4 linked regions of the Neurospora crassa OR74A genome follow. The protein of the gene in region 1 binds, or shares a complex with, the protein of each later gene. Links are inferred from orthologs where the notes say so. Each region holds a gene or a part of one and is shown on either strand. Other genes may lie near its edges. The genes, in order: NCU03159, NCU04155, NCU00812 and NCU08026.

The links.
Region 2: NCU03159 (region 1) and NCU04155 share a complex: the UniProt entries of both Schizosaccharomyces pombe proteins name them as parts of the RNA exosome complex. The link is inferred for Neurospora crassa OR74A from reciprocal best matches to the Schizosaccharomyces pombe genes rrp43 and csl4.
Region 3: NCU03159 (region 1) and NCU00812 share a complex: the UniProt entries of both Schizosaccharomyces pombe proteins name them as parts of the RNA exosome complex. The link is inferred for Neurospora crassa OR74A from reciprocal best matches to the Schizosaccharomyces pombe genes rrp43 and rrp41.
Region 4: NCU03159 (region 1) and NCU08026 share a complex: the UniProt entries of both Schizosaccharomyces pombe proteins name them as parts of the RNA exosome complex. The link is inferred for Neurospora crassa OR74A from reciprocal best matches to the Schizosaccharomyces pombe genes rrp43 and mtr3.

The regions. Positions count from the first base shown.
Region 1 is NC_026501.1:4,751,877-4,756,023, reverse strand, and holds NCU03159 (3' exoribonuclease), read right to left. Parts: upstream 2,694-4,147; 5' UTR 2,497-2,693; coding exon 1,423-2,496; 3' UTR 853-1,422; downstream 1-852. Other genes in the region: NCU03160 (hypothetical protein), read right to left, coding at 1-116, 197-613; NCU03158 (alpha/beta hydrolase), read right to left, coding at 3,075-4,147. UniProt on the Schizosaccharomyces pombe protein: Non-catalytic component of the RNA exosome complex which has 3'->5' exoribonuclease activity and participates in a multitude of cellular RNA processing and degradation events.
Region 2 is NC_026505.1:5,018,149-5,022,075, forward strand, and holds NCU04155 (exosome component 1), read right to left. Parts: upstream 2,613-3,927; 5' UTR 2,308-2,612; coding exon 1,834-2,307; intron 1,760-1,833; coding exon 1,589-1,759; 3' UTR 958-1,588; downstream 1-957. Other genes in the region: NCU04154 (hypothetical protein), read right to left, coding at 1-327; C-8 sterol isomerase erg-1, read left to right, coding at 3,053-3,485, 3,573-3,910. UniProt on the Schizosaccharomyces pombe protein: Non-catalytic component of the RNA exosome complex which has 3'->5' exoribonuclease activity and participates in a multitude of cellular RNA processing and degradation events.
Region 3 is NC_026501.1:7,076,908-7,081,557, reverse strand, and holds NCU00812 (exosome complex exonuclease RRP41), read left to right. Parts: upstream 1-1,634; 5' UTR 1,635-2,241; coding exon 2,242-2,549; intron 2,550-2,658; coding exon 2,659-3,172; 3' UTR 3,173-3,472; downstream 3,473-4,650. Other genes in the region: NCU00813 (disulfide isomerase), read right to left, coding at 3,473-4,650. UniProt on the Schizosaccharomyces pombe protein: Non-catalytic component of the RNA exosome complex which has 3'->5' exoribonuclease activity and participates in a multitude of cellular RNA processing and degradation events.
Region 4 is NC_026504.1:3,956,772-3,961,061, forward strand, and holds NCU08026 (3' exoribonuclease), read left to right. Parts: upstream 1-1,376; 5' UTR 1,377-1,569; coding exon 1,570-1,702; intron 1,703-1,761; coding exon 1,762-2,489; 3' UTR 2,490-2,561; intron 2,562-2,623; 3' UTR 2,624-3,321; downstream 3,322-4,290. Other genes in the region: NCU08027 (nucleoside diphosphatase), read left to right, coding at 4,103-4,121, 4,181-4,290. UniProt on the Schizosaccharomyces pombe protein: Non-catalytic component of the RNA exosome complex which has 3'->5' exoribonuclease activity and participates in a multitude of cellular RNA processing and degradation events.

The sequences.
Region 1 (4,147 bases):
GGTGGAGAAGGAGGCGAGTCGTCACTGCCAAGTGAACGAGGAGGGGGAGGAGGCATATCGAAGTCCATACGATCTAAGAGCGTATCTTTCCAAAGTTTCCAGTATGCTGGGTATGCCTTCCTTATCGGATCCCACTTCTGGTGGTTGAACGTATATTCCATCACTGCCCGTGACTCCTTCAGTATGCTGGGTATGCCTTCCTTATCGGATCCCACTTCTGGTGGTTGAACGTATATTCCATCACTGCCCGTGACTCCTTGCAGGCGGTCCAAAGTCCGCCATCGACCATATACGTTGAGGGATTACCGTCGGGTCCGGACGATAAGGTCTTTGCCGGGACTGAAATGTGAATGAATTTCTCGCCGATGTCCAAAGGCGGACACGGACGCTCATAATGTAAAGGCACTGAAAGAATACGAGGGCATTGAATGTCACATTCCTTTGCTGTAACATCTTCCGGCCCCCGCAGGTCCAAGCAAAAGATATGGGCTCCAGGGCGGTCAAGTGGGCGGATAGACTGCTTCCAGATCTCATTGCGTAATTCCCAGGGTAGCCTTGGAAACGGGTGGAAGGTAGCCAGAGGGGACATGGCCGGCTGAGAGGGATCTGACATATTAACCGACGGTGGCGTGAGTCGGCGTGACTTGAAAGTGAACGGCAGCTGGGCTTTCAAGCGCAGGCACGGACTGGAGGTATGCTGGAATAGTTGGCTTCTTTGAGTGAGCCTCCGAAACGCTGCAAGACGGGTGAATCGAAGGCGTGGATGGGGGAGAGAGGATGATGAGAAGGGCGAAGGGCTCAATATCAGAAGAGTAAAATTTTTCACCACTGGCTGTATCGTCATTTGGAAAATGGAAGGTGCGATACAATTGCATGATACTTCATGAAATGCAGTGACCATTGAGGTACTCACTTTGTTAGAGTGCCGTTCCTTCCTCAGGGTTGGGATCTCAAGGAAGGAATAGCCATGGCCCTTCTGCATCCAGTCAAGAGATATTCCCTTCCCTTGATAGTAACAGGAAAGAGGGTAACCGAGCCCTGAACCCACTGTCCTGACCGCCCTGGATATGCTCTCTTCCACTTTCCTTGCTGCCCATGGTCTGCTGAACAGGCGCGTTCGTTCTGATGTTGTCGTTTTCACTTTCTTGCCGCCCCTGACATTGCCTTTGAGAACTTTGCGTAGGTCTGCCTTCATGATCATGTTGGCAGAACATCGTGTTGGTGGCAAACCGGCTATCGAGGTATCATAAGTTGTTTCAAGACCAATGGTGATAATCGAGACCACTCTGAGCGTGCATTTGTCCAACCGTACATCCTAGGGTATCAAATCCGTTACATTGCTCTTCTCATTTCGACGCTCGTTCATGTGAAAACTCGTGAAAAGGACAAGCCTGAGATGCCTGTCTGCCATAGACCGACACTCTACTTCGACGCCTCCTTCACCTCTTGCCACCTCCCCTCAGCAACACCAATGAACCCCCTCATCAGCTCTCTTCCAATCACCGTACCGCCATGCTTCTCAATGCTCTTCACCTTCGTCTCTTCCCCACTGCAGTCCACCACCACGGTGACCGTCTCCTTGCACAAGCTCTCCTCCAACCTATCCGGATCCAGCAGGATCCAGTGCCTGCTTTTCCTCTCTGCCGAGGAGCCCGAGTCCTCTCCGTGCTCCTTCTCTAAGAACACCGTCGCAGTGCAGGCAACCGGCAGTCCACGCACATCCAGCGCCATCTTTGCCTCCTCGCTCCGCGAGCACACCACCGCCTCGCGATCCGGATCCCACCGCGCCTGCGGCAGCTTCGTGTCGCGCAGCGCCGCCATGACGGCTGTCCAGGCTGCGTCAAAGGGGTTTCCGTCGAAGGAGACGAACAGTAGGTCGATATAGAGGACCCAGTAAGCCTTGAGCTCCGGTTTCCTTTCCTCCTCCTCTTCTTCCTCTTCCTGTGCCTCATCCACCTCCATCGCGCCCTCCTCCCTGGTCTCCTTAGGCGGAGTGTACCACACCCTCAGGCCCTTGGGATCCACCACCTTGCAGCTGTGCAGAAGCGAGTAGATGCGCGTGCTGAGCGTCTGCGCCAGCGTCGTGGGTGGCACGCCGGGGAGGAACTGCGGCGCGCAGCCGGTGGCTAGCTCGATGTTGGGAACCAGGAGGTCGTAGTCCTTTAGCTCATCGACATCGGCGCTGTCGTCATTGTCTTCTTCGCCGTACGAGGGCTCCCGCGGCCGGTACTGGGGGATGTTGGTGACGGGAAGGATCTCGGCGCGCACGCCGCAGACGACCGTGGTGTCGCCGGTGCGGACAAGTGCGCTACCGTTGGCGTGGGCGAGCGAGGAGGTGTGGATGTGAACGGGGCGAGCCTCGTGTGGGGCGCGGCCGTTGGTACGGCAGGGGTTTTCGGGGTCGGTGAGGTTCGTGAGAAGGTACGGGTGAGGCGAGAGCTTGGCGAAGGTTGGTCGCGAGAAGCTCAGCGAGGGAGCTGGAACTGTAGCGGCCATTGTGACGGCTTGGTTTCTGATGTTTGGTGACTTGTGGTTGTTATGGTGCCTGATGTGATTCAGATTTGTTATATGTCAGATTCGACCGTTGTCGAGTTGCAAACTGGCTGTACAAAGCTTGAAGTGGCGTTGTTTGGTGAGGGCTGCGATTTGTTTTGGAGGAGGTTGTTTGGGAAATTTCCTCCAACCTGAAAGGCTATCAGCCTTGGTGGGGTTTGTGGTTGCACGGCAGCGAGGATCGACCAATACACCCCCCTGTACCAGGCTGCTTTGGGCAGCTGGATCCATGCAAAGCAAGTGCGCGCTGAGAAACCGCCTGACAGCCGCTGAATTAGCAACCTAGCGTGGTCTTTCAGGGCACTTCTACTTCCTGCAGGTGTAACCCGCGGACATGAATCCAACAATCAGTAAGTCCCCTTGGTCGTTTCACTGCATCAGCTCGAACCACTTCTGTTTTTACTCGCACAATGAAACACGACAATTTATAATTCTTAAAATCTTCAGTCACATCCAGAAACTCATATATCCTACGTATCATATCATCATATACAATGGTTGTTCCCTTGCGACCAAGTTATCTAATTCCGTGACCAAAAACCTGCCGCCAAGCCCGCCACCTCTTTTCCCTTCGTCATAACGATTTCATGACCACCATCCATTACAACAGCCTTGAATCCATCTTCTCCCAACACTGACGTGGCGTCGTGTATCAGTTCCTCCTTGACAATGACCGGATCCGTTGAGCCAAGAATCAGCAAGAGTTTTCCACCCAAAAGTCCCGGCAACGGTTCTGCCCCGGCTCCCTCATCGGCACCAGGAGAAGAAGTCTTTCGCCTGGCAGCCAAAAGCTGACCGAGCTTTAGCCAATCCTTCCGCTGTTCGTAAATGGGCGCATGCCGAATGCTGCTCATAAAAGCCGTGAGGAATCCCTGCTGGTGCTGGACCTGCCAGGCCATCACCGAGGAAACTGTGCTATTGGGCCTGTGCGGCAAGAGAACCGCGTTGTCGAATGAGTCCCCGCCGCTGGCGTCGCTGTTTTTGTGATGCTTCTTGGTGGACTGTTCACTGTTGCTGGTGGCGGTCACGACCTCGCTAGCCATTTTGGCTTCGGATGTCGTTGTCGCTGACTGGGGAGTGATCCGTCGGCGTATGAGCCACCGGAGCAGCCTCTCGGGAAGCAGGCCTTCGGAGTAAAGGATCCTGCTCCTTCGGCTCACGTGTTCTGACCGGATCAGTCCTGCGCTTGCCACGAGTACCAAGGACCGGATCATGTGCGAGTAGTATCTGGCGAACGAGACGGCGATGCCTCCGCCTAGGGAATAACCAATCATGTGGAATCCGTTGTCGCCGGTCCATGGTAGTTTTGAAGATGCCAAAGCCAGGAGGATCTGAGTCGAGTAAAGCCGGATGTCAAAGGGGATGTCTGTTGGAGTATCGGAATACCCGCGCCCGAAAAAGTCAAACAGCATGACTCTATAACCTTTTTCCACGAGCGCCTCTCCAAGGATTCCCAAGCTTAAACATGGTGTGCTGATGCCGTGTAATAGAAGAACCTTCTCGCCGTCTTCAGGCCCCCATTCGAATACCTTGATGATTCCATATGGGGTCTCAACGTCCCTTGCACCTGGCAGAGCATCTGGGGGGTATGGAA
Region 2 (3,927 bases), on another chromosome or scaffold:
TTGTTGTTGTTGTTGTTGTTGTTGTTGTTGTTGTTGTTGTTGCTGCTGCTGTTTGAGTTGCCCTCGTAGTTGGGCTATCTCGTCTTCGTAGTCGGCCCAACGATCGACGGCGGATGAAGCCTTTTCGTTGAGCAGGCGCACTTGGCTTTGAAGTTCTTGGATCTTGTTGTGGGCATCGAGAACGGCCGCCTGCATCTCCAAGAAGGGTTGGGTCCCCTCGAGATCGATACCGCATTGTGGGCAGCAAGGAGCGGTAGATAACGTTTGGGTGACCGGTTCGACGATGACGGGGGCGGCGGTCATCGTCATGGTGGCGGTGGTTGACATGGCTCACCAGGGCCCCGTTAGGACAGATGATATCGACAAGGAGAGTTCGCGCGTCTTGTCGGATTGGACGAAAATCAAAGATGATGGATTGAAGCGGTTCGTCTGATCTCGATATTTTCTTCTCGGGAACGAAGTGGACTCCTGCCAGGAACAAGAAAACTAGATGGAGACGCCGTTGCGGTGGGGATGGACTGGTTCCCGTTGAAACAGGGGCAGGGAGCTTGTTGTTTTCGTCTTAGACTTTGTTTTGTGTATCTGGGGGGCGCTGAGTGAGATCGCTAACCAACACGCCGCCAGAGCTCCCACTCTGCCTCCTCCTTTTTTGAAGAATGACAAAGCTGTAAAAGGGAGGACAAGAAATGGGTGGAATGAATGTGTCTAGGTACCTCTAGGCACGCAGGGTTTCGGTGACGTACGGGAATCTACCGCCCTCCCCCGTTCTACGCCCCCCCGCCGTTCCGATGATCTTCAGCGGTATGTAGGTACCGCATGCACGATGCAAGGCCCATGTGGGGGGTATACGAGACGCCAAGCCGCCCTTGAGCCGCCTTAAAGAAACAGCACTCGTTAACGTTTGGCCCAGGCGGCGGATGACGGCACAGACAACAGATGAGGTATGTACCTAGGTATGCAAGGGAATAGTAAGGTACGTATGAAGAAGGCTATTGGTATCTTCTATGCAGATTTTAAACGGGTATCCAGTTTCTTGATGCAATGACAGGCGTAGCCGTGTCTGGCGTCACTATATCTTTCCTCGACGTGACAAGATCATACTAACTCGCCATCGTCTTCGTTATCCCTGAAACAGGCGCTGTATCATGACTGTGTTGTTCCGCTGTGTCAAGAGTGAATCGTGACATGTACCCATCTCCATACTTCTCTGAGTGCGAGCCCTATCACCCAAGACCATGTTCTGCGCGGTCTAACTTGGCGTACCTGGAGTATCCGCCGGAAACTCTGGGGCCAGGACATCTCTGGGCTTGGATTTGTCGCTGGGATGCTTGCTTGTGATGCGAGTGGCCGACCGTGTCGATGATGGACCGGCGGACCGTGAGAGCTCGACATTCGACGTGCCGCCGCATTTGCAAGTCCCCAACCGGGTACTGATTGAGCACCTGCTTTCACTACTCGGCGAGCTCTCCGAGCAGATTAACGCCCGTATCGCCTTGATAACACGCTGTACCTCAAGCTAGTAACTCCGCTATGCATTGCTTTTCAAGCATCTTTTTCATGTCTCATTTCGAAACTCCATCCGCCGACTTCAGTAGGGCTTCGCAACCTTTCTGGGTTCGCTTAGCCCCGTCTCAGGGTCCTTGTATTCCTTCCAGTTGACGGGGTACATGGTGTTACCGGCCTCGCTTGTCGCCATGATGACACCGAGCTCGTTACGCGCTGTCGACAGGTAGTAGCTGGCTTGGTCACCAAGAGAAATCTAGTGGGTGGCAGCACGTTAGCGGAAGTGTTCAGTCCATGTCTGGCAGAAAGGGAGAGGAGAAGAGCACTCACCACCTCGGCCCTGACAATATCTCCAGGCCTGAAGCTGTCGTAGATCTTTACCCTGTCCTTCTCTGTTGCTCTCACGTCCTGCACTCTGATCAGGCCCTGCCACTCGGCCTCCAAAACAGTATCGCCGCAAATTAGAATGGCCACAACGGCTTGGCGCGGCATGATGCGAATCACCCGGCATAGCACGATGTTGCCCACTTCAGGAAGCACCTCGCGCTTGTCTGACGAACCCGCTGAACGCAATACCGAGATGGTCGGTAGCTCGGCGGGCGTGGTCTGGGTGTTGATGATCTTGTTCAAGCGCTTAGCAGGGCCAGGCGCCTTGGCGGGCTGTGTGATGTTGACGACGCCGAGCAGCGAAGAGTAGAGGTTCGACTCGTGGATATGGGTTCCAGGACCGGGTTGGAACTTGGAGACAGGGCCTAGGAATTGGCCGGGGATGGCCATCGAAGGGGAAGAGGATGTGCTCGCCATTGTGTCGGTCGTTCTAGGTTGATGGAGCTATCGATGACAAAAGTTTGCGAATGGGTAAAAGTGGTATAGTATGAGACGCGGTGCGACGCGCAGAGGGAAACTAAACAAAAAAAAGATAACGATGCGACAAAACGGACCCCGCGGCGATAACAACTGAGATTGGAGCTTCTGGTACGTGGAGGTAAATGTCCATTCGATGGAATATTGAAATGTGATTGACCGGGCCCGCGGACGGGACTCAATGACGGAGGGGCACCGAAAAAATAGAAACCCCTGTCAGTGCCAAGAGCGCTGTTAGTGCCGCGCTGAGTGCTTTGCACCGACAGTGCTGCCGGGCAACTTGAGCTGCCCTGCCGGCGAGGGGAGCTTTACGGAGCTTCTGGATGCACTCCAGCCTGCCGGTGTGTCTGCCTCCAATTGGTCGTAGCGGTGGCTCCTTCAAGAAATCGGTTTAACGCTATCCGCGCAATTGAGCGTCCTTATTGGTCAAAGCTCTCAAAATCGAACGTGTCGGAAGTCGCAACACCCGCCTGGGCGGGCATGTTGCAACCACAAGGGTCCTCCACAAGGAAATCAGGGGTTGCCGTGGGTAGGTTTGTTGAGGTTGGGCTGACGGACCCCCCTGTCGGTGGTGGAATCTCTGTGGCCATTGTTTTGCTTCTTTATAATTCAAGATTCCCGTCTTCTCTCTCCCCTGTTTCTCCTCCTCGACATTGTGCCGTCTCGTCAATCACAAACCGTCACAATGCCTCCCAAGAAGCAGTCCTCCTCCGGCGGCAACAAGCCGTCCGGCTCTGGCTCTAGCTCCGGCCGCTCTTCCTCCGGTTCGTCTTGCCGCTGCAGCTGCCGCTGCCGCTGCAGTATCGGTGGCTGGCTCAAGTTCTTCGCCATCTTGTTCGCCCTAGTTGCGCCTATCGCCTACGTCCTGGAGCAGCGTCTCGAGTCCTTCTACGTCTTCGATACTGAGCACCTTCACGATCTGTCCAAGCGCGCCATCAGCGCCCACGGCAACGACACCAAGGCTATTGTCAAGTACATTGTCGACGAGCTGAACGACCGCAACGGCGTTGCGCCCTACGTCAACAACGATGAGGAGTGGGTGTTCAACAACGCTGGTGGTGCCATGGGTGCTATGTACATCATCCACGCCTCCATCACCGAGTACCTGATTATCTTTGGTAAGCCCCATCCTCCAGCACGCGTTTCGCAAGCTTGTGCTTCCCGCTTCTTCAGACCCATCACTAACAGCACACTCCACACAACAGGCACTGCCATCGGTACTGAGGGTCACACCGGCCGCCACACCGCCGACGACTACTTCCACATCCTCACCGGCACTCAGACTGCCTACGTCCCCGGCGAGTACGAGCCTGAGGTCTACCCTCCCGGTTCCGTTCACCACCTCGTCCGCGGTACCGTCAAGCAGTACAGGATGCCCGAGAGCTGCTTCGCGCTCGAGTATGCGCGCGGCTGGATCCCTCCCATGCTGTTCTTCGGTTATGCCGATACCCTCAGCAGCACGCTCGATTTCCCTACCCTCTGGCGCACCTCCGTCATCACCGGCCGCGAGATGATTAGCAACTTGCTCAAGGGCAAGTTCTAAGCATTGTGCTTTACGAA
Region 3 (4,650 bases), about 2.3 Mb from region 1:
CTTCCAGGTTTGTATTATGCAGCACCTTTGACCCACTGCAAGAATAGGTAGGTCACGTCCAGCTTGCCAAAGTCAAAGAAGCCATTGTTGTTTCGCTGACAATAGACTCGTCATCGTGACCCCATTCGTTGAGTTCCTTTCTCTTCGTTTTCACTCAAAGGGGCCCAAGACAGGACGCACGTGCATTGACTGGTGTTCTGGAGATTAGGTGAGCATGGGGGCGGGAAGGTTCCGTTGCTCTGGCGTCAAGGATAGCAGCGCTAGCCCTGTTTCTCGAAGCCTGGTCGCGGTCGGGTGGTCTGAAACGAGATGAACGGAAACGGGGGCAATGCCAACCAAAGAGCTTTGATCCCTAACACATGTCCGGATTAAGTGCCGCGAAATGTGTTAGCGAGCCCCCTTGGCTAATTCATGGTTCGTTCATCCACAGTTTGATTAAAAGTGTAATGCGAATTGGCGTTGGCGGGTCGTTCCTTGGTAGACTGGGCAACACAGCACTTCCCCATTGCCCCGTTTCTCCGTTCCATTGGACCCCGTGGGCTGGTCGGGCCACCAGCGCAGTAATTCTTCAATGAGTAAGCGCGCACCTCGAGGTTTTCACAGTGAAACGAGAAACAAACCGCGCCTGATGAAACTGTTTAGTTGACAAAGACATTGTGGTCACTGGATGACGACTTGCTCATGGTGGATCTCTGTTCAGTCATATCGATAGACTAGGCCAATTCGTGCTAGCCTGGGCCGGCTGTCTAGGGCTGCATCATGCGCCGACCGACGGCGCCTCCTAGTGTAGAGACTTGATGTTGAACAAGTCTCCCCAAAAACACCAAACGGAATCCTCTTGAACCTTGATCGATTCGCACCCCAGATAGGGAGCTCCAGGAGCATTGGCGAGCGTTCCAGACTTCTAGAACCGGATCACTCTTGGGTCCGAGATGATAGAAGATGACGACGCGCTCAACCGAGGCTTCCAAGAATACAAACCAATTGACATTTCGAACACCCAGCGCATCGCGGTACCCATGAGATGATCTTGGTGGCCGTTGTCCCGTATTCACTTAGCGAAGGGGGGAATGGAGGAATGCCGGTTTCCTCCTTGCTGTTGACAAGGGGTCACTGCCACTGCCACAGTGTGCCCCTGAGTAGAGGTAGCCTACCTACCTCTAGGTAGGCTACCTAGTAGTGATCACTCCTGAGTCCAGACTTCAGGCCCTCTCCTGCTCACAATGCACGATCAAGATCCCATCAACATTGCGCATTCGATTGATATCTTGCCATCAACTCACTGTACCGCTATGAGCTGGAGAGGTCAAATGGGGGCTGTCAAGATCACGTGGAGAGTAGATGGACGGGAACCTTCAATTCCATGTTCCGGGGCCATCACGTCCCGTCCTCTGTCTGCAGCTGCAAACAACTTGCCTACAAGTAGTGTAGAGGTATGCACAGACCACTTGCATGCATTTTCAGCTCCTGATGGAAGCGAAGCAGAACTTAAGCAGAAGCCCTGCGGATGGAACTCCCGTCCTGCCGAGTGAGGTGAGCGGTGGAGCCCGGCACGGCGACCCCGCGAACGTGAGACGCAGCGGATCTTGCCCCGCCCCGCCCAGCTAAACTTTTCCTGTCTTGCCATTGGAAACTTTCGGCCTGGCCCAACCACGTCCGTTTATTCCTAGCAAAAGGCGATTTCAAAGTCAACAACCGTCCACCAGAACCTGCTGTCGATTATTCAGACTGGTCGACCGGAAGCTCCGAATTCCCACTTTGCGCGATAACTTAGTCACTGAAACTGGGGCCCCGACACTTCCGCATTACGCAAGCCTTTCTCTCCTCCGACTCAACGTACCGAGAGCTTGCGCGTCGCTCGCGGCACGATATCGCATCGAATAATCTGTCCCATCGAGCCGAAACTGTACGCACTAACCACGATCTCCCAGATCGAGCTTGGCCGACCCGACTCGAAGAACGACTAGGGTACAACTACAAGCACAACCTGAGCTTGGTGGACACTAAGCAGGGGAAGCAAGAGCAAAAAATCTCGACTCAGGTCCGGCTCCCCAGACAGGCCCTCAGGGCGTTTGTTGTTGTTGATCCTTACTGGATACCGTACCCCAATCTCGACCTTTGGTGTACTCGCTACCTGCCCGGTAGAGAGATTAGCCCGAACCACGATACCCAGAGGAGTAGAGTGAAACGCTAGAACAACAGAACATAGAAAGAAACACCTGTCCACCCAGCTACACCGCTATGCCTCTCGATACTTCAGCATATAGCCTCGCGCTGTTGCGCGTCGACGGCCGCAGGTGGAACGAGCTGCGTCGCATCCATGCCCAGATCCGCACCCAGGCCGCCGCCGATGGCTCCAGTTACCTCGAGATGGGCCACACCAAGGTCATGTGTGTCGTTAACGGACCCAGCGAGCCCGGTCCTCGGAGGGGAGCCACGTCGGGCGGTGGTGGTGGCGGTGGTCAGTCCAAGAACGCCGAGGTTGCTGTAAACATTGTCATTGCCGGGTTTAGCTCGGTTGACCGTAAGCGAAGGGGGAGAGGTGATAAGTAAGTCAAAACACCCAGGGGTTGTTTCCCCCCCAGTGTCAACTACGGCTATTCGTCTGTCACTGTTCGCATAACTAACCCGTCATCCTTCCTTCTTCCATCATCACAGGCACATCCTCGAACTCCAATCGACGATATCTCAAGCCCTCGCTGCCAGCTTACACACCCACCTCTTCCCGCACTCCACCATCAACATCTCCCTGCACGTGCTCTCGCAAGACGGCTCTTTGCTGGCCGCCCTCATCAATGCCGCCACGCTCGCCTGCGTCGACGCCGGCATTCCCATGACAGACTACGTCGCGGCCTGCACGGCCGGCTCGACGTCTACATACGCGGCTAACGACGAGGGCGCCGACCCGCTGCTGGACATGAACCACCAGGAGGAGCAGGAGCTGCCCGGCCTGACGGTGGCCACATTGGGCGACAGCGACCGCGTGGCGGTGCTGGTCTGCGAGAGCAGAGTGCAGGTGAGTCGCCTGGAGGGCATGTTGGCCGTGGGCGTGGACGGGTGTAAGCAGGTGAGGGAGATCTTGGACAGGGTAGTGAGAGAGAAGGGGATAAAGATGATACAGGAGGGCACGGTCGAGAGAGGGGTTGGGTTGAATGACATGGAACTGGATTGAATGGACACTACTGAATCAATGGTTGGGCTCCGGGTCACAGAATCGGATATGGTACGGTAGGTAGCATTACAAAGGCTTGGAGCAAAAAAGAATAGGCAACATGACGAATTTGACGAATTTCACGACTATCAATGTAATCAAAAGTACAGCTCTTGGTCAGGTGAGCAACATGTCGTTTCTGTTAAACGTGCGCCAACTTTTGAAAGCGTTCTCCGAAACTGAAAGGTACCAAAAAACCTTCAACTTTTGACCAGCCATTCACTGACACAAGTCACAGCAAACTACGCTTTCACCAATCTCTCACAGCTCATCGTGACCACTGGCCGTCTTCGACTGGGCCTCAGGCGTCTCCCCCTCCTTTGAAGCAGCCTTCTCAGCCTTACCAGACTCTTTCTTTTCCTTCTTCTTCTCCTCCTCCTCCGTCGAAGAAGCCTCAACAACAATACCCTCCGGCAGCTTTTTCTTGGTGCCCTCGCTCAACCTAATCGCATCAATCCACGCCTCCACCTTGTCATGATCCGAGAAATCATCTCCCTCACCAACAGCGTCGTAGCGTCTCCACCATCCGCGACGGGCGTTGATGACGATGAGTTCAATGTCAGCATCCTCCTTGAGGCCAAGGGATTTGAGAAGGGACGCGCCGGCGGGGTTGGTGTCGAGGGGCACCTCGTAAAAGGGGAAGAGCTTGTGTTGGCCGAGGGCATATTTGAATTTTATTTCGGCGAGGTGGGTGAGGGCCTTTTGGGCTTTTTCGTTGGAAGAGGATACCAGCGCGAGAAGGCAGGTGCTGGATTTGGACGTGAGGCATTCCTTGACGAGCTTTTCGGGGGTGTTGAGGGAGGGGATGGGGAGGGCGGTGTGGATTATTACGGGAATCTCTTGGGTTGGGGCAGGGGTTTCGGAGGACGTTTCAGAGGAGGTTTCGGAGGAGGCGACCTTCTTGGAGTCTTGCTTTCCGTTTTTTTCACCACCGTTGGCCTTGCCGTTGGCCTTACCATTAGCCTTGCCATTAGCCTTGCCATTAGTCTTGCCATTAGTCTTGCCATTAGTCTTGCCGTTGGCCGGTGCTGGGTCCGGATTAGGCTGGGCCGCCTGGGAAAGGAACTCCACCATGGCGGCCTTGTTGATCTCGCCGTCGTACACAATACCAGGGGCATCACCGCCAGGCAACAAGATCAGAGTAGGGAGTTTGTCGACACCGAATGTGGATACCGCCTTGGACTGAGTGTTTCGCACCTGACCGACGGGCATGACACCGAGGAATTCAATGGCGACGCTCTTCAGCAAGGGGGAGGTGGTACCCTTGTCGGTGAAGAGGAGCGCTTTGGCTGTCTCGTTCTTGTCACTCAGGAACTTGTCGAGGTTCTTGTCCTCGACTTTCACGACGTGATTGTTGATGCGCGAGACCACAGCATCGACAATTGCGCTGGCGGTGCGCTGGCCTTGGTAGTCCTCCACTATGGGCTTGCCGTTCTTAG
Region 4 (4,290 bases), on another chromosome or scaffold:
CATGAACACAAACCTTACCTCGTCAAAGATGCGTTGCAACAAAACGTATGAAACGTTCACGCCATCAACTACTGACCGGTCAGTTCAAGGTCATACGCGAATCGGCATCGAGCAGAAGGCGAAGACGACACAGATCAGACAAGCCGTTTTAACTCAGCCCTACAAAGCCGGCCCAAGCCTCCCACGCCCCAAAACGGTGCGCAGGAGACTCGGACAACGGAAGCCAAATGACACCCCGAAGGGAGACACCACAACTAGTCCTCACGCCCCGAAAGACGCTCCAGTGCGGATGGATGGCTCGGCCCGTACATATCGTTGAATGGATAGACTGTTGTCATCATTGTGCATGGGACAAAGGAAAAAAAAAAAAGGCAAAGTACCTACCAGATGGGCATGTCGACTCTCCCACTAGACGCAAGATCGTTTTCAGATCCTATATAACTTGAAGTTTGTTAGCCAACTTGCTCGCAGCATGTGTGGTGAGGGCTGTCGTTGCAAGAAAGAGTTGGGGTGATTGCCATATCAGAAGGTTTTGGTATAATTGGTTATCGCTCATTATTATTCAGAAGCAGAACTGAAAATATTTTGTTTCATCATGGACAATCGGGTGGGTGATGATGTCAGGTGGGGGAAAGAAAACAGAAAGGAAAACAATGTGATGCTTACCTAGTGGGTAGAGACTGAGAAAACGGAGTGGAACAGCAACGGTGACAATAACAACTTTGTCTGTACTATTGATTGTCAGTCAACGGTTCCTCCAAATGAGTTGCAAGTGAAGGATGTGTTGAAGGAGTAGTCAGATGGTAGTGCATGTTTGTTCGATCGCTCAGAGATTATCGCGAGAACTGTGGTTATGGGATCATCATGAGATGTGAAAGGCAAGGGGAAATAAACTTACTCTATCCGTGCGAACCAACGTCGGCCATGTCAGACAGCCAGGACATGCTCTCTAGCAATGGGGTTCGCCATCGCAGAATAACCAAGAGCATGCCTGGACAGTTGACATGACCATGCCATTGCTGCGCCAGCGCAGAAGGCTGCCCAACCAAAGCGACCATGAGCACGGTAAGACCATGGTATCATGGCTGCTCCCCAAAGACAGTGGCCATATCAAATGAAGGCATTGATCCAATGCCGACAATCGCAAGCCGTTCCTGCCGTTGCGAACGGTGTGGGTTGGTGGAAGAGTTCAAGATGAGGTTGGAACTGAAGGCGGCAGAGTTTTGTAGCTGCGCAAAAAATTCCTCCATCGGTGGCTTTGACATGGAATTCTGGGTGGGGCATGTGGCTGACTGATCAAAATCGACAGTGAATGTGAGGTTGCGCCACAACTACTTGAATTTGAGAGTGGACCCACTGCAGTGTAGACGGCGACTCTCACGTCTTGTTTTCAACAGTCAACAGAGGTACCAACAGAAGTTACCAACCGTGAAACAAGGAAAGCCATACACAGACGAGGTCTCTTCCTCTTCACCTATCTCAGGATTCTTCGACCAGAGAAGGGCATCGGAAACAACACAGCAATCACCAAGCCCACCATATCTCCGGCCCTCGTATCTTGGCTTCAAAATGGCCGACAGAAGACGTATTAACGGACCGGTTGGGACTACCAACCCTCCCATCTATGACGATGCACCCGAGAAGCAATCCGAAGGTTTCAAGGTCACAAGGTCACGCCCGGCGAACGTAATTCGCAAAATGTGTAAGCACGTCGAGGACAAACCCTCCTGTTTCGCAGACACAGACTAACCTCACGTTTAGATCTCAAGACGGGAGTGACACCGTCGGCCTCTGGCTCTGCTTACCTAGAGATCGAGTCGTCTGGAAACGGCGGCTCTGGCTTGAAGCTCAGTTGCAGCGTTCATGGACCTAGAGCTTTGCCCAGGTCAACACCTTTTTCTCCTCACATCATCTTGTCCACCCATGTCAAGTTTGCACCCTTTGCGACCAAGCAAAGGCGTGGTTACATTCGTGACCCGATCGAGAGAGATCTCGGCACTCACCTTGAGACGGCTCTTCGGGGATCTATCATTGCTGACCGTTGGCCAAAGAGTGGAGTGGATATCATCATCTCCATTGTTGAAGGAGAGCAAGATCGGGAGACCTCCAAGGCCCAGGGTATTGAGGCCTGGGACACCATGAATGCCTTGAGTGGCTGCATCACCGTTGCCTCGGCTGCACTTGCTGACGCTGGCATTGACTGCGTCGACACTGTGGCCGGAGGTGTTGCTGCGTTGGTACAGGACGCAGGTAATGACGCTGCTCCCAGCATAGTTGTCGACCCGATTCCTTCTGAGCATGAGAAGGTTCTTGCAGCGTGCTGCATCGCATATCTTCCCACACGACAAGAGGTCACCAACCTCTGGTTCAAGGGTGACCTACCTGCGTCCGATATGGACGTTTATACGCAGCTGATTGAAAAGGGCATTCAGGCTTCCAAGAGCGCCAACCGCGTGCTCGTGGACTGCCTGAACGAGACCGTTGGGTGATCATGAGGTCGGCGCGGCAATGTATTATTTGTTTTAGCTATGCGCGAATGGGAAATACTCGTATTGAAACCTGTAAGTCCATCAACGGGAAAAACGCATGGAATTCTATGGTCTGACGGTTCATGGTCTTTGAGTACCTCTACGATTTTGGTCGATTTATCGACCCGAAGACCAGCTTCTGATGCAATAGGTCGAGCTACCAGCCACTTGGTCTTTCGCAATAGCCCATATGTAGGGCAGAAGTAACGGAAGATGCCAATCGATAGCAGCGACAACAGAACTGCGTTCCGAGGTTCGGCGGCTGACTGCAAGAATGGAATGGTCAACTTCCGGCGGGAATAGTTTCGAGATGCCTGTCAAGGTCTGACAGGTTGAGCGAGCGCTCTTTTGCTGAAACTCAGCTGGAAGATCGCAGTGTGATGGACGAATGACGTCCAAGAAGCGTTGTGGCTGGTATGCAGAGCTACCCTCTGAGGTTGACTGCCGAAACATTATGAACCGCGGGGTATGAGAAGCTTCCACGTTCTTCGCCTCAATGATCGTCTGTTTCTGAAATTGGAAACATGATGTGGGGAGATTACGCGTATCGTTTCGTTCATAGCAGCACGGCATGTTCGAAGCAGGGCAGACATGGCCAAAGGTGGTGGCTGATCATGAACCGAGGTTTCACTATTACTGCGTAGGGCATACATACACTACACCTGAACTACTTTCTTTTCGTGTCCGGCACGATCTAATCACTTTATCTGAAGGGGACTGTGGTGAATAGCTCGTATCTTTATCAACATTTCGAGGTGGAGGTAACATAACATGATCAACTACATAATCTGCACAAAGATCGAGTAACGTTGCGTTATTACCGGCGTTCTGGTCCGTAACTTTCAGCATTACGAACGCCACCAAGGAAACCCAATGGAACTGAAGTCACTGCATCCGAAGGCGGACGTGGTACCACCACTCACATATTGGCACAGTGCCGGCCGCGTTCAGCGACGGGGCGCCCCCCGGCGTGGCGTGGTCCCGGGCCCCTCTTTCCCCTGAACTTCTCCTTATCTGCCCCCCCACGGTCCCTCCAAAAAACTACAGACATTTCCCAGTTCGGCCCACATTGTCCACTCAGGCGGGAATTGTAAAACGACCTGACAATCCAATCTTTCCCGTCATCCTCCAAAATCTCACCTCACCCAGCTTTCGGGCGAGTTTTCTCTCGCTTCGCACCTGGTCATTTCACTTTTCCCAAAACCACCCCTACTCTCGTTTCTTCCGACGGTCCCGGCTGCCTACCTACCTACCTACCTACCTACCTACCACACTGTACACTTTTAATTATTCCATAGTGTTTTGTCCATTCGTTTTGCGGCCGGTAATTCCTCCTTCCAGCCTTGCTTGTACCGTCGATCAATTCGTTCCGTCTCCACTGCGATTCCGCAACAGTTCCAGGTTGTTGATGCCATAATTCCGATGCGGTCGTCCATACAACATTAATTCCCCTATTACGCCATTACCGACGACAACTTGAGCAATCCTCGCCGAACCGAGACAGCTGTGCCTTGTCCGACTTGATTTCGCATTAGTCATTATCCGCTTTATCGACTACTTCTAATCTCTTCTCGATGGGGAAAGACAAGAACTGTACGTCCACCCGCAACCCCCTCAGGTCTTCCAAGATCGCGACACTGAAGCAATGACAGGGCGATGGGGTGTTATCTTGGACGCCGGGTCCTCGGGGACACGGCTACACATATATCGTTGGAAGGATCCCGAGAAGGCGCTTGTAGATGCGACGCCCGAGGAGTTGCGC